Macaca mulatta: one gene and its partners. The protein of the gene in region 1 interacts with the protein of each later gene in a pairwise test. Links are inferred from orthologs where the notes say so. Each region holds a gene or a part of one and is shown in the gene's direction. Other genes may lie near its edges. The genes, in order: CBY2, C19H19orf44, PLEKHN1, DZIP1L and METTL17.

What was found.
Region 2: the proteins of CBY2 (region 1) and C19H19orf44 interact in binary tests that used the Homo sapiens proteins (3 or more experiments, as listed by UniProt). The two-hybrid records come from large-scale screens. The link is inferred for Macaca mulatta from reciprocal best matches to the Homo sapiens genes CBY2 and C19orf44.
Region 3: the proteins of CBY2 (region 1) and PLEKHN1 interact in binary tests that used the Homo sapiens proteins (3 or more experiments, as listed by UniProt). The two-hybrid records come from large-scale screens. The link is inferred for Macaca mulatta from reciprocal best matches to the Homo sapiens genes CBY2 and PLEKHN1.
Region 4: the proteins of CBY2 (region 1) and DZIP1L interact in binary tests that used the Homo sapiens proteins (3 or more experiments, as listed by UniProt). The two-hybrid records come from large-scale screens. The link is inferred for Macaca mulatta from reciprocal best matches to the Homo sapiens genes CBY2 and DZIP1L.
Region 5: the proteins of CBY2 (region 1) and METTL17 interact in binary tests that used the Homo sapiens proteins (3 or more experiments, as listed by UniProt). The link is inferred for Macaca mulatta from reciprocal best matches to the Homo sapiens genes CBY2 and METTL17.

Annotation. Positions count from the first base shown.
Region 1 is NC_133422.1:24,970,236-24,974,233, forward strand, and holds the start of CBY2 (protein chibby homolog 2), read left to right. Parts: upstream 1-1,186; coding exon 1,187-1,297; intron 1,298-3,998.
Region 2 is NC_133424.1:16,992,796-16,996,307, forward strand, and holds part of C19H19orf44 (uncharacterized protein C19orf44 homolog), read left to right. Parts: intron 1-389; coding exon of another isoform or gene 390-497; intron 498-682; coding exon of another isoform or gene 683-773; exon of another isoform or gene 774-848; intron 849-1,037; exon of another isoform or gene 1,038-1,130; intron 1,131-1,736; exon of another isoform or gene 1,737-1,885; intron 1,886-1,967; 5' UTR 1,968-2,545; coding exon 2,546-3,334; intron 3,335-3,512. Other genes in the region: CALR3 (calreticulin-3), read right to left, coding at 396-497, 683-773.
Region 3 is NC_133406.1:239,720,835-239,725,005, reverse strand, and holds the start of PLEKHN1 (pleckstrin homology domain-containing family N member 1), read left to right. Parts: upstream 1-1,365; 5' UTR 1,366-1,443; coding exon 1,444-1,526; intron 1,527-1,610; coding exon 1,611-1,710; intron 1,711-4,171. Other genes in the region: KLHL17 (kelch-like protein 17), read left to right, coding at 1-142. UniProt on the Homo sapiens protein: Controls the stability of the leptin mRNA harboring an AU-rich element (ARE) in its 3' UTR, in cooperation with the RNA stabilizer ELAVL1.
Region 4 is NC_133407.1:41,060,834-41,064,345, reverse strand, and holds part of DZIP1L (cilium assembly protein DZIP1L), read left to right. Parts: intron 1-391; coding exon 392-608; intron 609-1,056; coding exon 1,057-1,223; intron 1,224-2,144; coding exon of another isoform or gene 2,145-2,164; exon of another isoform or gene 2,165-2,280; intron 2,281-3,512. UniProt on the Homo sapiens protein: Involved in primary cilium formation. Probably acts as a transition zone protein required for localization of PKD1/PC1 and PKD2/PC2 to the ciliary membrane.
Region 5 is NC_133412.1:93,838,670-93,842,741, forward strand, and holds the start of METTL17 (ribosome assembly protein METTL17, mitochondrial), read left to right. Parts: upstream 1-1,264; coding exon 1,265-1,339; intron 1,340-1,491; coding exon 1,492-1,645; intron 1,646-1,725; coding exon 1,726-1,860; intron 1,861-3,380; coding exon 3,381-3,462; intron 3,463-3,788; coding exon 3,789-3,870; intron 3,871-4,072. UniProt on the Homo sapiens protein: Mitochondrial ribosome (mitoribosome) assembly factor. Binds at the interface of the head and body domains of the mitochondrial small ribosomal subunit (mt-SSU), occluding the mRNA channel and preventing compaction of the head domain towards the body.

The DNA of each region.
Region 1 (3,998 bases):
CCAATTGTGTTCTATTACCAAAGAAAATAGTTTTTTATTGAAAACTAATGCAAATAATATATTGCCATAAACTGAGAATACTCACAAACAGCTTCCAAGTTCTGGAGAGAGCAGAGAGAAAGGTAAATGCCTCAAAGTTTTGTTCACAAAGGTATATTTTATCTAATGTGTTGTAAGTTAAAAACGGTTCAAAAGGAAAATGTTTTCTTGACTCAGGAAAACAAAACATAAGAGATCATCAATGTTTCAAATAAAAATGTCATAAAAGATCTTTTTATTCCTCTATCAGTTCAGTCCCATGTAGCTAATTCTTGTTCTGTTTGATGTTGGGTTAGCAATTCTCATGCAACTTTTTAATCAGAGCCCTGGAAGACTTTTCCTAGTCTGATGGCATTATCTCCAAAGTTATCAGAAATCTGTGTTTAAGAGTACTGATCAGAGTCCTTTGCATGAAAAGTAATTTGGGTTGTAGCTGATTGGAAAGCTTTTTAGAGAAGAATTCAAAACAATAACTGTGGATTACAAAAACTTAGCCATGGCTAAAACCTGATAAAAGTTGTCAATTGTCAGGAAAATGTAGTTATTTCTATTATATGTAGCATTTTAAGATAACAACCAGAACCATGACTGACAGCATCACATCAGGACCATCTGATTTTTATAATAATATAATCTTAAGAATATTTCTACTAATAATGTATCTACACAAATATAACTTTTAAAAAGATTTAACATATCAAAATTACGACTCATAGCATGTGAGACTTTTATAAACGTATGTAATTTTTAGTACATTTATATCAATAGCGCACCCATAAACATAACCAAAAGAAGATCCAGTATTATTTAGCATTTGATAATGTCTCCCATACAACTTTACCAGATAAATCCTACCAAAGATGTTAAAAGATTCAGAACATTTGATCAAAACGAACTACAGGTCATTTTAAAATAATAGTTATTCATTTAACTAGCATGACAGTCAAAGGACCTCAAAAGTAAGTAACAGAAAGTTACATGGGCGGTTTCCTGGTTATACAAAATAATTCAGACATATCATAAAGCCAAGAGTATAAGATTATATTACATTTGAGGAAAACATTGCTTTTCTAAACTTTAAGATAAATATGTTAGCATTATGCCATAAGAACAGCATTAGGGCTGGGGTAAAAAATTGTAGGAGTTCATGAAAAAGTTGAAGAAGAGTTATCAGACCAGCCAAGCAAAAAGATATGTTTTTTTCAAGGGGAAAAAAACAGAAGATAATGAATGTGATCTGCAACTTATATGTAACAAGGTACAGGAAAAGTTGAACTTCTGAGATATAAATCTGACATTTTAATTTTAGAATTTAAAGTCAATATTTCTTGCAATATCATTGAGAGCAAATCAATACTTCAAAAAATTTTGTGGCTTTAACCAAAATTTTTAGTTTTGTGTTAGTGCATTTTTAATATTACAGCTAATTTTAATAAGACCTTATAAACAAATCTATTCAATCTCAGTTAGTTTTGACTGCAAGATAAGATTTCCGTAAACCTTTTATAACCTCTTCCAATTTGTTATATTTTCATTCTTTAACTTTCTATATTTATTTAGTTTTATCTATAATTTTTTTATTCCTTCAATTTAAAACAATCCTTTAGAACCTCTAAACTAGGCAAAATTACTTGCCCTTAAATGAAAACCATATTCCTGTCTTCTTATGTGTTTACCAAAAACACATCCTATTTTTCTTATACATTTTGCATATAGAATTGTTTCTCTTGTATCTAGTAGTTTCAATTACATATATAAGTCACAATATTAACTCTTAGTAATCCTTATTTTAGGGAAGAACCTAGGAGGTAAGAACTCTTGAATTGTCTGTCATATATCAGTATTTTATAGATAAAATATTATAATTTATGTATTTTAAAACCATTTTTTAACCTTTAGAAACATTTCCTTATACATTTTCTTAATTGGAAGTGACCCAGCTGCTCAGTAAGTATGATAACTTCAAGATTTTCAAAAACATAAGAATTTCATTTATTACGTTTATCTAATTTATTTGTTTTTAACAGTTTATCTAGATTAGTTATGAGAACAGAGATATTAGACAAAGCTGGTCATCATTTTAAGTTTTTTCCTTGTTAACCATTTCACAGCTTGTGAATATCAGGTGTTCACCTAAGTAAGAACTTTGAAGTGAAATACATGGATATTTTGCTGATAAATCAGAGGATTTCATTGTTGTCATTAAACCAACAATATTAGTCTTATTTATCAAAAGAATCACGTAAACAAAGATTATTCTGTTTTGGCTAGGTTTATAATTTCGTGACTTTTGTGCCAAACCTGGACATCTTAAAATAACTAGCAGATGCACATGTCAGCTGACCAGTAAACACAGGCAAAATCACATGCTGACAATTCTGAAGACATATCTATTTTTATTTTATCAATAATTTTAAATTGGTTTTATTTTCCAAAGATTATTAAAGTCACATGAACTTGAAAAGCTTTTGGGCTTATTTATTTAATGTATCAGTACTCTTTTATTTATAAGCTCATTTGATACCATATAGAAACAACACATAACATAATGCATGTATATGCGTAAACGAGACAGTTGGATCAAACTTATTTTCCTGATAAAATTAGAACCTGTTCACATAGCTCAACTTTATTTGCCCTGATGAGCAAAGCAGTTTCCATGGCACTTTGATTTTAAAAGACCTCTTTCATTTTTTTTTTCTTTAGCCAGTAACCTTAAACTAGTAATACCATGAACAGTAAGTTTTATCTCAACACTAGTAAAAAAGTCAGCAGATTCAAAGTAGTCAAGAAGAAAAGACAGGCAAATAACTTAGAAGACTACATGACAACTCTTTAGGGGCAGAAGAAGAAAGAGGGTTTGACTGACATTTTTTCCATGTGCCATTTTTCTTCAGGTTTTCTAGTTTATGGAGTTGCTTTGTTCTAATTGAGTGTGCGGATAAACTACTCTGGAGCTCTCATAAGGCTTCTGCTGGAGCCATCACAGTCTTTAACCTTTGTTAAGCCAAACATTGATACACAGACCAAAAATACAGACAGATCAACAAAAATCAGAACCAGACTAGATTATCTCAGTGGCTGCAGCTTTTTACTATTGCCTTAATTCTTTGTGACTTGAACATACACCAGATTTGGGACTCTAACCTGACCAGAATCCCCCTTGGGTAGGACTCAAACCCACAGTCCTAGACAAGGGTGGGACTCTCATCCATAATCCTAAACCACAGGGTGGGACCTGAACCCACAGTCCTTATGATGAGTTCAAAGACAATTAAAAGTACAGGTATGTATTAACAAGGTACTCACCAGAAAGATGTCTAATCCAGAAGCAATTTCTTTTCCCAAAGGAAAAGTGCCAAGGGAACCTGAAGTGCCATGGTAGAGAAGCAGGAACCCTATAGTTGAGCCTCTGAACGCACTGGTCTAGGTGGCTACTCAGGATCAGTGCAGGGGGCCTGCACACCACTAGGGGCAACAGTACCTTGAACAGGCTGTTCGTCTCACCTGGGGTTCTAGTTTGTTATCAAGCAAAAGGGGCTCACTGCCCAATATGCTAGAAGCCAATACTGACACCAAGTTTTTGAAAAAAAGAAAAGCTTTATATTAAAAGTCACCTCTGAAGGAGGCAGGAGTCAAGCTCAAATTTGTCTCTCTGTGCTGGCATTAAAGCAGTATTTTTATTAGAAAAGGTTCAGGGGGTGGATTCTGAGATTAGCAGGTGATTGGTACAAGGAAAAGGGAGGTCTGGAAAGTCCTTGGGCATGCACAGTTATTTCTTCATGTTAACTCCTGAGTTGCATGTGCAAATTCAGGGGGAATTAGTACAAAACATGTGGTGGAAATTCAGCCTACGACATCAGCAAGCTTATTGTGTGCAAGCTCCAGTCAGCCATTTTGGTTCCAACCAATTTCCGCCAGGTTTTTCTAGATCTCGCAAGTGGAGGGAGTTTCAGCAG
Region 2 (3,512 bases), on another chromosome or scaffold:
ACGTGGACCCTGTCTCTACTAATAAGTACAAAAATTAGCTGGTCACAGTGGCGCGCGCCTGTAGTCTCAGCTACTCGGGAGGCCGAGGCAGGAGAATTGCTTGAACCCGGGAAGTGGAAGTTGCAGTGAGCTGAGATCGCACCAGTGCACTCCAGCCTGGGCAACAGAGCAAGGCCCCATCTCAAAAAAAAAAAAAAAAAGAAAGAAAGAAAGAAAGAAAAGAGAGAGGAAACAAAAAACAAGGGTAAGGAGCCCTTTTGCCTTAAGTTCTACCTTTGCCTTAAGGTCTCATCTGTAAATCGGGAATAAAAGCGTTTGGCTGTGCCACAACTACCTTGAGAGGGTGCTATGGAGATGTAACATTAGGCTCAGTTTGGTCCTGATTCTACACTAACCTTTATCTTTCTCTTTATGACCATAAAACTTCCCCGACGAAAGTCTAAAATGCCCAAATCGGGAGTCATTGGTGGACTGCACCCATCGGTTTCTCCAATGCTCTGTGGGGAGGGGGAAATAACACCGGTTAGAGGTGATAATGGTTAATTTGGCCTAAGGGAAGGGTGAGGGGGACCCTCGAGGATTCGAGAGTTCGCTGCCGTCGACCTCGCGACGACTCTGCCCAGCCTTGGGGGGGCAGATGGGGGAGCTTACACCTCTGCCACTAAGGGCGTGGCCCCTTCACCTCCGTCTAGAAATTCCTCTTGGAAATAGACGGTAGCCAGCGCCACTCGCAGCATGCAGATGCCCCAGAGGGGCACCCGAACCCCGGCCATGGGGGTTTGCACTGCGCTTCCGGTCGCCACCGCCCCTTAGCTCCCGGCGCTCTCTGCGGCTCTTCAGGCGAGTCCTGAAACTACAACTCCCGTCACAACTCGCGATTATGACCTGAGGGTCCCATTGGTAGCTGCGGCGCTGGGCACGTCGGGTCCACCAGAGAACTACCGCTCCCATGATGCCTCGCGATTGTGATTCGGGACGCCATTGGTCTGCGGGACGCGGTGCTTGCCGGGAGATGTAGTCTCTTCTGCTCTGGCTCTGTTGCTCAGGGCAACCGGTCCCTCAGGCCTGAATGTGGCGGCTGCCTCTGCGAATGGACGGCGTGGGAGGAGGTCGGCAGCGCTGGTGGGGAGGTGACCTGGCTGGGCGTCCGGGCTCGCGAGGGGGATACGGGGAAATGGGGCCTTCTCCGTGGCTGAGCTGGTTGGGCAGCTGCAGGATGGTCCCGCGCCTCAGTCTCCCTGCCTGGAGTCTATTGGAGCGTGGTCCTGGGCGGGTCGCTTCATAGCTGGGGAGAAGAGCAGGATGGTCTGAGGGGCGCCAGGGTTTTCAAATTTTGGTTTGTTGGTTTTTAACGACTTTGTTGAGCCTTTATTTACATACCATAGTGTTCGCCACTTTTAAGCTGACGACTCCGTTATTTTTAGTAAATCTACAAAGCTGTGAAGTCGTCGCCATCATCCAGTTCATCCAGCTTTAGAACTTCGCGTCAGGCGGGGTGTGGTGGCTCACGCCTGGAATCCCAGCACTTTGGGAGGCAAAGGCGGGAGGATCACTTGAGGCCAGGAGATCCAGACCAGCCTGGGCAACATGGCGACACCCCATCTCTCAAAAAGATAAAAATAAAAAATTAGCCAGGTGTAGTGGCTCGCGTCTACAGTCCTAGCTACTCGGGATGTTGAGGCGGGAGCAGGATTGCTTGTGTCTGGAAGGTCAAAGCTGCTGTGAGCTGTGATCATGCCACTGCACTCTGGCTAATTTTTTGTATTTTTAGTAGAGATGGGGTTTCACCATGTTTGCTACATTGATCTTGAGCTCCTGACCTCACGTGATCTGCCAGCCTTGGCCTCCCAAAGTGCTGGGATTATAGGCGTGAGCCACAGCACCGGCCTGATCTGCTTTCTGAGTTTATTGGTTTGCATTTTCTTGACAGTTCTTACAGATGAAATGATAGGGTGTGTGGAGTTTAGTGTCTGGCTCCTTTTTTTAAATTTTTTTTTGAGGCAGAGTCGCGCTCTGTCACCCAGGCTGGAGTGCAATGGCGTGATCTCAGCTCACTGCAAACTCCTCCTCCCACGTTCAAGCAATTCTCCTGCCTCAGCGTCCTGAGTAGCTGGGATTACAGGCGCAGACCACCATGCCCCGCTAATTTTTGTATTTTTAGTAGAGACGGGGTTTCACCATGTGGGTCAGGCTGGTCTCGAACTCCTGACATCGTGATGCACCTGCCTCGGTCTCCCAAAGTGCTGGGATTACAGGCGTGAGTCACCGGGCCCGGCTTGGCTACTTTCCCTTCATATGATGTATTTGAGATTCCTGCATGCTATTATATTAGTATTTGTTTTTTAAATTGCTGAACAGTATTCCACTGTATGGATGGACCATAGTTTGTAATCCATTCACTAATTAATGGATAGTTACATTGTTTCAGCATGTTAGCCAGGATGGTCTCAATCTCCTGACCTCATGATCCACCCGCCTGGGCCTCCCAAAGTGCTGGGATTATAGGCGTGAGCCACAGCGCCCGGCCCAAACAGCAGGTACTCTTATGCAAAATTGTCTCCCCTTCCCCCACAGAATGGCTTCTGCAAGGAAAGCCAGCTGTCCCATACGCGATGTTTTTGGTGACTTCAGTGACACTTCCTTAGAAGATTCAACAATGGAAGAAATCAGAAACTTCCAGATCAGTAGAAATCTTACCAAAATAGCACCTGGTCATAGCAGATTTCTAAAAAGAAACCAAACTCTAGGTGAGAAACACTTACTCCTAAAAGAGAACCCTGTACTGGGGAGTGGACCCAGCCTTGCCTCAAGTAGACCGCCCACCACTGACTCCAGGATCCGAGCCAATGCCGCACTAAGGAAGCTGGCCCAGCTGGAAACCCGGATCATGAATCGGAAGCTGCAGAGGAATTTGTCTGACACAGAATCTGACTCAACGACCACCAATGCCAGTCTTCCAAAGAGAGCTGACAGAATCCTCTCCGGGGGTGCAATCGAACTTGCGTCCCAGAACACAGACAAAACTTCCCAGAATCAAACCTGTGAACTTCCTGTCACCGAAAATAATGCACAGAACCCAAAGGTTAGTAGGTTTCTAAAGAAGAAACAACCATCTGTTGAAAACATATCCCCTGAAGCACCTGTTGGGAAAGAGAGGACTTTGCAAACCCCCAAACAGAAAGAACCTGCTAGAACATTTGATTCTCCAGACAGTGACGAAGAAGAAATGAAAGTATTGCTAGGAAGCTTGATGGACTCTTCTAGAGAAAAAAAGACGAGTCAAGGCTTCAGCAGTGTTAACGTCAGTGAGGAAGAAGAAAGAAAACTATTTTCGGTAAGTTTTTTTTTTTTGGTAAATTTATTTTTATTTATTTAATTTAATTTAAATTTTTTTTTTTTTTTTTTGAGACGGAGTTTTGCTCTTGTTGCCCAGGCTGGAGTGCAATGGCGCAACCTCTGCTCACCACAACCTCCGCCTCCCGGATTCAAGCGATTCTCCTGCCTCAGCCTCC
Region 3 (4,171 bases), on another chromosome or scaffold:
GTACAACCCGAGGACCAACAAGTGGGTGGCCGCGTCCTGCATGTTCACACGGCGTAGCAGTGTGGGTGTGGCGGTGCTGGAGCTGCTCAACTTCCCGCCGCCGTCCTCGCCCACGCTGTCCGTGTCCTCCACCAGCCTCTGACCCCCCCACCCCCAGAGGCCTGCAGCCTCCCACATGCCTTAAGGGGGCCGTGGCCCCCACCAGGGACATCTTGCATCTTCTGTTCACGTCTCTGCGTCCATTCCTTCGTGTCTATATTTAGTTGTTTATTTATTTAGTTATTTATCTTATTTATTGAGGGGTGAGCAGTGCTGCGGCCGCCCGTCCTCCCCTCCACTGCCTGCATGGCGGGCAGCCGGGAGTGACCAGGTCGGGGCCTCGCTGCCCCAGGGCCATTGCCTGCTCAGACCCTGCAGGCCGCGGAGCCAGAGGCCCTGGGGCTTTCCAAGCAGCTGCAGACCCCAGCTCGAATTTTGTACACGGCGGGGTCCCGGGAAGGGTGGGGAGCAGGTGTCCTTCCTGTCATCGTCTGCTTTGTGCCGTCTTCCCTGGATCTTGTAGTGGGTGCACACGTGTGCACTCGGGCCCCACACAGCAATACAATCCCAACTTGAACAATAAACACATTTCTGGGGCTTCCCAGGCTGAGCATCTCTCTGGCTTGTGGGGCAGCTGCGCAACTTTGGGTCCTATCTGGGGGTCCAGGGTGAGGGGCGTGGGCGGGTGGCCTGAGATGCTGCACCGGTGTCTGGGGGCTACAAGGCAGAGCTGTGCATCCAGGGAGGGTGGGGGCCATGGAGTCTCTCCCACTGTAGGTGGGGTTTGCCTGAGCTGGGTCCTGAGGCTGAGGTCCCCGCCACGTCTTGGGCTCTGGGGGTGCGGCGGGGGAGGACAGCACTGCCCCTGCGTATGCTGACTGTCCTGGCCGCCTAGGTGGCACGTGGCCTTCCAGAGTCCCCTTAAGCCTTGAGGACCCTGATGGGTCTGGTGAGGGAGCCCAGGCAGGAGGGGAGGCTGGGGTGGCTCTGGGCACTGTCTCCTACGCTGGAATTCCTGCCTCAGCCCTCCCTGCAGTCACCGGTGACTCAGGCCGGCCAGGGTTTAGATGGAAACAGGATGTGTGTGCACATTGTTGGGGGGGTGCTGGAAGGTGGCCCCGATTTCACAAAGCCTGAGCACAGGCAAGTGGGGTGCCCCTTGCACACTGGAGGCCTTGTCTGGGCCAGAGGGGAGATCGCCCCAAGGCTGGCCCCTCGGTGTGGAGGGCCCAGGGCAGAGACCTGGATGGCTCAGGTAGGGGCGAGGCCTCTTCCAGAATGGCTCCACCCCCGCCCAGCCCTGGGTGACGGGCGGGACGTCCCAGAGCCCCGCCTGCCTGTGGGAGGCGGGGGCAGGAGGCTGTGGACAGGGACCCAGACTTGCCGACCTGCACGACTCTGGCCATGGGGAACAGCCACTGTGTCCCTCAGGCCCCCAGGAGGCTCCGGGCCTCCTTCTCCAGAAAGCCCTCATTGAAGGGAAACAGGTGAGCGGGGTGTGGGTGTGGCCACCTGGGCACGGGGCTCCCCCACCCGCTCCGGGGCCACGAGCTCCCTTGCCTTGTCCCCAGAGAGGACGGCGCACGGATGCCGGCTGGCCTGCTGGGCCCCGAGGCTGCTGGAAGCGGGGACGCCGCCGCCAACAAGCTCTTCCACTACATCCCGGGCACGGTGAGCGCGGCGCACGCGGTGGCTGGGGTCTGGGAGCGTGGCTCTGCCCGCGCGTGTGTGCCGCGTGTCCTTGCAGTTCAGGGTCTTCCCCTCGGCCCGGGGGGATTCAGACCCCCTTAGGTGAGGAGCGGATGCTGACTGCCCCGCCCTGGGGAGCTCATCGGGCCGAAAGTCTGAGCGGAGAGCGAAACCGCGACGCAGGACTGAGTCAGTCGGGAGCGAGCTGGGCGGGGCGGGCCGCGGGCGGGGCCTCCCGGGACCTCCTCCCGCAGGGGACCGGCGCACGCGTCTCTGTCGCTGCAGTGGGGCTGGGGTCGTGCTGGTCGTGTCACTTGACAGTAAGGGGCTTCAGGTGCGCAGTGAGCCAGCCGGCCACCTACCCGCGGCCTGTTTCTGACGGGGTGTCCCGCAGGAAGCTGCTGCTGGGTACCGCCGCCCTGTCCACAGCAACCCCTCTGTGCACGCAGGGCCTCCTCCCAGCCTGCCAAGGCCACGCAGCAAGGAGGCATCTCCCGAGCACACACTAGGCCACCTCTCCGTCGTGGAAGGAGCAGAAGAACCCCCATGCCCATCCCCCCGCCCAGGCCCCCGTAGGACTAAGGGTCTTCACAGGGTAGATGCCCAGCCCCTTTCAGATGTGCCTGGTGCTGGGTTGAGGGAACAGGAGGAGGAACCCCCACGGCACCCCTGTCAGGCAGGCTGGATGCTATGTGCAGGCCCTAGGAGCGTCTGGGGGAGAGGACCCCTGCCCTGCACTCCTAGGTCCAGCAGCTGGCGTGGCCGTGCAGACCCCGTTGCCAACATGCCCCCGCCAGGCAGGAGGCTCGTGCCATACCCTCTCCTGACCTGCAGAGTTTCAGGGTTCCCTGCAGACAACAGGTGCTGGTTTTGGAAACCACACTGCCTCAGAGGAGTGGGCAGGCAGAGGGGGCCAGGCTGGCCTAGGGGTGGGGTCCCTTTGGCTGCATCTCAGACGCTACTCTCTCTGTCCAGGCCCAGGACATGCAGTGGGACCCTGGTAGGGCCCTATGAGGTGTGGTGGGTGGCCCTAGTGGTCCTCCCTTGCCAGGACATGGTAGCCAGAGAGGGAACCCGCTGAGCCTCAGGAAATGGGGCTGGGGGAGGAGCTCGGGGCCAGTCCTGGAGCCAGTGCTCCTCTGCCCTGTGCCTGGGCTCTGCACCCAGTGCTGTGAGCTGGCTCTGCCGGCTCCAGGCTGAGTCCTCCCTGGGGCCCCGAGGCTGAGCTGGGCTGCAGGGCTAGCTGTGTGGCCCTTCCTGGTCTGTGGCCTATTTTTCATAGGTGCCTACCCGGCATCAGTTCCCACGCTGGGTGTGGGTACAGGAGGCCCCACCCAGAGGCGGGAGGCCGGGAAAGCCTATGCGTCTGTCTGTTCACATTCCTGGGCCTGCTCAGGGGCAGCTAAGCTTGGCCAGGACACAGCAGCACTGCTGGTAGCCCTTGCCAGCTCCTAGAGGGAACAGGACACCTTCCCACTTGCCCCTGAGCCTGTGGATCACAGAGCTCTCCAGCCCCAGGTTCACACCCGTCCCCTTTCTGATCTCTAGCCTGGTGATCAAAGCCTGCATTTGTAGAGGACTGTGCCAGGATTGGCTAAGTGTGGCATGGATGTGGATTCCTCTCCCCTCTCAGCACATGCAGTGATACCCACAGCACATCCCAGGCCCTGCCTTAGGCTCTGGGGACACAGAACTGAACGGAATAGACAACCCCTGTTCTCACGGTGCTCCCACTCCCAGACGATGGGGCAAATAAATAGAAGATCCAGTGAGAAGGGTGGGGTTGGTGCTAAGGAGAAAAACAGCGGGGATGGGTGCAGAGGATCAGGGAAGGCTGGAATTTTAGAGGGGCTTTCAGAAAAGGACCTCTTGGAGCAGGTGATGTCTGAGCAAAGCTGCAAAGCGGGTAAGGAAGGGGGTGGGGACTGAGCGGTCCCCAAAGCGGGAAGAGCACATGCAGTGGCCGGAGAGCGGGGGTCTGACCCCTCGGGGCACTGCCAGGACCCGGCTGTCACCTAAGCAAGTGGCCAGCACACACTCAGGGGATCGACCCCGGAAATCTCCTCACATCTTTCAGGCTGGGGGCTGGAAATGGGCGGCGCTGAGAACATTGACACTGAGGAAATTGACAAACGTTACAAATCAGGGCATTGGTGTGTTTCTGTGTCTGTTTTTTGTAGAACCAGGTGTTAAACGTTTACCAGCCAATACTGGAGACGTGGGAGGGTTTTGAGTGTTACCCAGACACCCCCAAATTCTTCTAACAAGTCTTCAGAGGTTGAATAACCAAAGACATGTTACACAGCTTAGGAAATAATGAAGATAGGATTTAATCCACTGAGTTCAAATCTCACCATCTCTACCACTAGACCAGGCAGCTCTGTGTGGGGAAGTGTGTCTGTGTGTGTGTGTGTATGCACGCACATGAGTGTGTGCACAAGTG
Region 4 (3,512 bases), on another chromosome or scaffold:
TGGCAGCGTGGTCTTCCTGCAGGGCTGCCTGCACTGCCGCAGCTGTAGTGTGGGTTGGGGAGAGGGTAGCGGTCTTGGTGAAGTCCATCTAGGACTGCTGAGTTCCTCTTCAGGCCCGCGGACTCCTGCTGGTCTATAATGACAGCATGACTCTGGAGCACCCAGCTGCTCTCCTGGTCTCTGAGGAAACTGTGGAACTATGGTCCCAGCCTTGAATCTGGCCAGCAGCAGAACACCTGATTTGGCAGCAATTGTGCAATCTGCTGTGGTTATTACAGCACAGAGAGGGAGTGATTGTCCATTTCCAGGGTGTTGGAGCCGCTTTCTCCCTCCTCTTAGGCTTGAGACCCAGCATGGGTGTCCTCCAAAAGTCATTCCTTTCTGTTTCCAGTCAAAAGCCAGCAGAGCACACTGGTCACCAGAGAGGCCCAGCCAAAGACCAGGACCCTGCAGGGGGCCTTGCCATCCACGCCGGCAGAGCCGCCCCCACCAACTCGTCAGAGCCATGGCAGCCATGGCTCCGGCCTGACCCAAGTGTCCACCCCGGCTCCACGCCCCAGAGTGCATGGACCCTCCAGCACCCCTCCTTCCTTGGGGCCTGGGATGAGGTGAGCCCCAGACTCTGCCCTCTCACCCCACCTGCAGTGGCGGCTCCTGGCTTCAGGCAGCCCTGTTCTGGGCTCCCTCCGGGCTTCTGCAGATAGGTGGGGGGCAGATACATGTGAACAGAAGGTGCCTCAGGTAGGGTCCAGTCTGGGCTCTGGACTTGAGAACCTGTGCTCCTAGCCAAGACAAACCCACCCTCCCCTTACCCATCTCCTCCCCCAAGCCCGTTCCCACTCCGGAGGGGCGGATCCTCAGACAGGCAGGGCTCTACTAAGGGAGAAGCTGGTGTGGCTGCTGCACTCCACGGGTCTCCTAGATATCTTCTGGGCCTGAGGGAGGGAGCAGGGCTGCCCTGAGCCCACCAAGCCAGCTTGCAGCATGATGAAGTTTGGCTTTCAAAGTTTTCTTTCTGGCCCATGCATCCCTCATTTCTTCTCCTCCTCATGGCAGCACGCCCCCGTTCAGTTCTGAAGAGGACTCAGAGGGAGACCGTGTGCAGCGTGTGTCTCTACAGCCTCCGAAAGTTCCTTCCAGGATGGTGCCTCGGCCCGAGGATGACTGGGACTGGTCTGACACAGAGACCTCAGAGAATGCCCAGCCCCCTGGCCAGGGCTCAGGTGAGCTGGCACCTTCGGGTGAGTGGGCTGGGACCACGGGTGAAACCCTTCTCCAGCCCAGATTTCTCGAGGCTCCAGAAACACCCTTCAGCTTCCTTTAGGCTTTCTGATTTGACATCTCTTTCTCTATTTGGCTTCGAGAGAATGGTCCTCCTTCGCCTCAAATTTTTTTTTTTTTCTGGGATAGCAGAGATATCAGGAGAAAGCTAGAGTTTGAGCAAGGTTTATTTTACCCCTTGTTTTGTCATCAAATTGTTGACTGTGGGAGGTCAAAGGGAGCCACTCATCTCTTTTCTCCTCCATGTTCTTTCCAGTAGAGAATAAACACAGTGGCCAGCCACGGGTGATCAAAGCCTCGCTCTAATAGTGGTGACAGGGCCCAGGAATGCCTGAGGCATTGGCTTTCTGTTAGGGCTGGATTAGAGGAACAACCAGCACTTGAGGCCAAAGTGGGGGCCCCTCCAGTCTCCCCGAATCCAGATCCTGATCTTACTTGTGCGCAGGGCTGGGTTTGCAAAGCAGACCCTGAATGTGTAAGACCTTAAACAGGCAGCTGTAGGGTGCACTCCAGCCCGGCTCAAACCCAGCCATAGGGGCGGGGAGGCTCCGAGAGAAAGAGCTGGCACTGTTTTCTGGATCAGCAGCCCTCCTTCAGGTGCGCCGTGGCCCAGGGTGTGTTGCAGGCCCACCCCTCTGCTTGGCTTCTTCTGTGAGGAGAGGGTAGGATGTGGGGAAGAAACTGGGAGGGTGTTTCTCCTATCCTTGTCCATCCTGGTGAGGAGAGCAGAAGTTCCCTCCTTCTGCGCAAGCTCGAGGCGTGAGAGAAGGCTCTCCCCTCTGTGTTGGTGTTTCTGGGTGCTCACCGAGTGCTCAGCTCTGTGTGGATCTCTTCGCACGAGTCTCCTCGTTTACTCCTCACAGCACTGATGAGGGAAGGCTGAGCCACACACGTCGTGACAGAAGTTGAAACTAAGCCTCATAGACATTATGACTGGCCCAAGACCGCAGAACGATGTCATGGCAAGTTGAGATTCTGTATGATGTTTTTGAAGTTAATGTGTTAGAGTCACGTTTATTTATTTAATTGTAAACTAACAGAAAGAGCTGCCTTTAGCTGTGTTCCAAATGTTAAGAATATCCCCATAGTCTTTTATGCTGTTTGAGTTCGTTAGCACCGATCAAGAGTTGATGGTCCTAGAGTTAAATACCACAGTGGTCAAAGTAGCCTCCAGGGCAAACCTCAGTTACAACTTGAAGGGAAAACAGTTTGCTACCATGAACATTTTGACAAATATAGTTTTCTATAACACATAGACTGTAACAAGCATAACTTTTTGCAACAACTCAATTGTGAAAAGTGTGGCTTCCCAGCAAAGCTTGAGACAGAGGAGGCAGCCACAGACAGTCAGTCAACCTTTATAGCAGGCTGCCTTTGGGCCACGCAGCCTGTTTCATCATACGGGGAAGCTCTTTGCCCTTTTCAGCCAAGAGACTTAGAAATTCAACGTGTTGATGGAAAGGGTATTGTAGAGACCTGAGCTAACTGTCATGGTAACTGGAATGAAAATATTCCTTCAATGTATTATTTTCTGTCTAACAGGTTGCAATGACTAGTTGAGCATCCTTCTTTTCAAAACAACTGTCTACTCCCATTCTTTCAAGATTTTCCTATCAAACTGCCAACTGAGGCCTGCAGCTTCTGGCTTCAGTTGTATTTTCTAGCCAAGACTGAGTTAAAGAATAAAGAATGTGGAATTTAGAGTTTTGTCTTGCCAAGGTCAGTAAGTAGAAACTCTGGGATGTCAGGCTAGGCTTGCAGTCTGCAAAGTTCTTGCTCCTAATAGACTCTGCAGCACTTGGCCATGTTTACAGCATAAGCCAAGCCTGCCAGTCCATCAGAATTCGCCAGAAACAGATCTCTGGAGAAGTATTGATGCCCTGCCAGGCGAGGGCAATAGGGTGGCAAGGTCTTGGGACTGGGAGTTAGGAATCTTCAGAGAAAGTCCTGGCTCTGCCACTTGCTACCTGCTTGTCCTTGTGCAGGTGGTTTCTGCTCCTTTGTTGTAAAATGAGGTATTTGGACAAGGTGATTAATGAGAGGGTGAGGAAACAGTGCCTGCTACATCATAGGCCCTTAACAAACATTTCTTGAATGAATCAGTGAGCCAAGGGCTGTTGTAGCTCCAAAAGTCAGCTCAGACCTTGATTTCGTTTGAATCGTAGAAGACTGTAGTTAGCTTCCTGCTTCTTGGTCATTCCTGAGGTTCATACATCACCTTGGTGTGCCAG
Region 5 (4,072 bases), on another chromosome or scaffold:
GCAGCCCTTCTCCCCTTGTCCACCCATGTCTTCTCACCCCGCCTCACCCCGAGATGAGGAGCCCTGAGAGAGCTGGCAGGCTGCGGTCGGTGAGGGCTGCAGATTTGAGGAAGAAGTCGAATAAGGGAGAGGACCACAGAAGGGCAGTCCAATTAGGGTGCTGGGACCTGAGATCCCTGGACCACCTGTGGTAGGGCCTGATGACCCAGGAGTCTAGCCCTCCAGATGAACTGGCTGGTTCCACACACAAGTCAAGTGGATATGCTGGGAGAACATCCTAAACCTGTAACAGAAATTAGGGGGGCAGGAACCCACAGAAATCACACACTGGGTGAGCTCAAGTGTTTGGAGACTGAGGTAGCAGTTGTGCACTGTCAGATTCCGAAAGTAGATATGGCCTTGCATATGCCATTTATCCTTCTGATGCTCTGGTGAATGAAGGAGTTGATGGCCTGCAGACTCTGGAGACATTACCCTGTGCTACATTATCACGTCACAAGAGTGGCTGAACCCACCTGAGATTCTGCACCTCAGGTAGTCACGACAGCATCTGTAGAAGTCCTAGGCCTGGGGGAAACAGTGTGATCTAGCAGCAGACTCAGAAGGGTCCCCGTCAGAACCAAGTTTTCTGTGAAGCGAGTTTCAGTCCTTTTCCCTGAAGTACCTAGCACGTAGGTGTTCTCAGTAAGTGTTATGTTAGCTTACTAAGAAGACTGGTCTCATTTGAAGAGAAATTAACAAATGTAAAAAAATAAAATAAAATAAACCGATTAACTAGGTTTTTTATCAAACTATTAACTATTCAATAATTATTTAACTATTAATTTCTGTTGTCTAAAGTCTCTTAAATATGATTTTTCTCTTCTCTTCCTTCCGTTACTGCAGTCTCCCTTTTTCACACAGGGAAACAACCCAAGACTCAGAGTTCTCCGCGGAGGAATGCAAAGAACACAGGAAGTCAGTATTCCCAGAAACAGTCTCTGCCAGTCAATGGCGCGCTCACACCCAACTCCATCCCGCCCCCGTCCCGCCCCACCCTCTTGATTTCTGGCGCCGGTGACCAAGCCCGACGCAGCCTCCAGCCCAAACACGGTTTCCGCCTCAAGGATATTTATATAACCATTGCTTATTGGCTGCTGGCAAACACTCGCTCTTCTGGTTGGCTGAAACTGTCGGGGGACGTTCTGCGAAGGCGGCTCCTTGCGGCGTTGTGACTGAGGGTCACAGGAACCTACATTTCCGTTTCCGGTTCGCCTCCGGAGCCATGGCGGGGGCACTGAAGTCTCTACTGATATTAGGAAGATGGTGCCCCGGCCTTGGAGTAGCTCCCCAGGCCCGGGTGAGTACCTACATTGCCGGCTCACGGAGAGACTCTGGATCTGCAGAGACATCTCCGCGCGGAGGAGGAGCGCTTCTGGCAGCCCCCGCCCTAGCGAGCGCCAGCAACTTTCCTTTCTGCCAGAAAATCAACCTTTCTTTCTCTGCCTGCAGTCGCTCGCCGCAGTAGTACCTGGAGTGACACAGATAGATAACAAGTCCGATTTCCTGCAGAAGAGGCCTCATCGCCAGCACCCTGGCATCCTAAACCTACCGCACGTGCGGCTGCCACAGGCACTGGCTAACGGTGCCCAGTTACTGCTACTTGGTGAGTAACGGCTGGAAAGGGAGAAGAAACGGGACTGGACCTGCATGCAAGTGATTCCGCTTTTCATCTTTGGCCCATAGAGAATGCTGGGCCCACTATGGAGAATCAGGTGCAAACACTGACCAGTTATCTCTGGAGCAGACATTTGCCTGTGGAGCCAGAGGAGTTGCAAAGACGGGCTAGGCATTTTGAGAAGAAATTTCTGGAAAACCCAGGTAGGACTTAATAATTAAAAAGTAGGCCAGATTGAAATGTCGGTTAGAAATGAAGAGTAAGAAATAATTTTGCAGTCTCTCGAACAGGTACTGAAGTCTCTTATTTGACTTTCTAACCAGAGCAGCAGTTGTAACAATGATGCCTTATTAAAAGAAGGTAGATTATTCTAGAGATTGCTTAGGTAAAGGTTAGAATGTCCCAGTATACTGTTTTTTGTTTGTTTTGTTTTTTGTTTTTGCTTTGAGACAGAGTCTTGCTCTGTCGCCCAGGCTGAAGTGCAATGGCTCGATCTCGGCTCACTGCAACCCCCACCTCCCGGGTTTAAGTGATTCTCCTGCCTCAGCCTCTTCACTAGCTGGGATTACAGGCGTGCACCACCACACCCGGCTAACTTTTGTATTTTTAGTAGAGACAGGGTATCGTCATGGTGGCCAGGCTAGTCTTGAACTCCTGACCTCAGGTGATCCACCCACCTCGGCCTCCCAAAGTGCTGGGATTACAGGCGTGAACCAACGTGCCTGGCCACCAATACACTGTTAAAATCTAGATACTTGTTTTTTTCCTGCACGTCCACTGGATTAGGACCTTCTAAGTTTTTATTCAGGTAAAATAAAGTCCCTGGATGACCTCTACCCAGTACTGAAATCCTCTTCTGGGATAAGAGGATAAATATAATTCATCAAGTTAGTTTCATGATTGTGAGCTCCTTAACATTACCATTTATTCATCTTGCATTCCCTGCACACCTTACAGTACCTGGCTCATAGTAGGTGATCAGTAGATACTTGCTCAATAGTACTGAACTGAACAGTCATGAGACCTAGATTTTCAAATTTCTTTCCTCTCCATAGGAAAAGTGGAGATCATCAAAACCTTAAATTTTGGAGAAGTGAAGAAATCCAAAAAATAGTGCCCTTTAATTTTTTTTTTTTTTTTTTTTGAGACAGTCTTGCTCTGTTGCCCAGGCTATATAGTGCAGTGGCACGATCTCAGCTCAACACAACCTCTGCCTCCTGGTTTCAAGTGATTCTCCTGCTTCAGCTTCCTAAATAGCTGGGACTACAGGTGCACGCCACCACGCCTGGCTAATTTTTGTATTTTTAGTAGAGAGAGGGTTTCACCATGTTGGTCAGGCTGTTCTGTTCTTGAACTCCTGACCTTGTGATCCACCTGCCTCAGCCTCCCAAAGTGCTGGGTTTACAGGTGTGAGCCACCACGCCCAGCTTACCCTTTAAATTTTTATCACACTTTCCTTTAATGCAAAACAAACCTGTGGAACAGGATTGATTAAGCTGAATAAATCATTCTTAGAAGCAAAATGCTATTTGAAACAATCTGTTAGTGGTAGTAGTTACTGTTAATTCTTGCCTGAAACTTTTCTCTAGGTTTGTTGTCTCTCTTGAGCTTTAAGACTTTCTTAGGTGGAGTCAGGGAGGACTGGGTGGGCAGTATATTCTGATATTGGATCTGAGCCCTGTTCTCCCTAGGTCCTGACTTCCAGTCCTTGTTCTCACCACAGACTTATGTCAGACAGAGGAGAAACTTCGTGGAGCAGTGCTACATGCACTACGTAAAACTACCTACCATTGGCAGGAGCTGAGGTAAGGGGGCCTAGAAGAGGTGCACAAGAAAGAAAAGGCAGAGAGAGTTGGGGGAGTACAATTACACAATCAATTTAGTATTTTTTTTTACATCACCTGACCTTAAAAGGATCAATTTAGTATTTGAAAAAGTTAAAGTTCGAAGTTTCGAACCCTGAAGTTTGAAAATTTAGTGTTTGTAAGGTTCCCCAGGACCCTTTTGTATTGGGGAGTGAAAGGCCTGAGCTGGAAGAGCCTTTTCCAAGATGTCATTTTCTAAATCTAGAAGGTAACTATGGGATTAAGGTTATTTACTAGTATGTATGACTCTCTGATTTTAATGGCAGCTACACTGAGGGACTGAGCCTGGTGTATATGGCAGCAAGACTGGATGGTGGCTTTGCAGCAGTCTCCAGAGCATTCCATGAGGTGAAAGTCCCTTAACTTCCAACCTGAACTTTTTGACCATCAGTTCCCTATTCATAAAGTAGTTTTCTAGGATGGGGATTCTTGGGACATTGCATATGCATTTTTTTTTAAAGAGGATCTCCGCTGGGCATGGTGGGCTCCTGCCTGCAGTCACAGCTGTTTGGGAGGCTGAGGCAGGAGGATTGTTTGAGCCAGTTTGAGG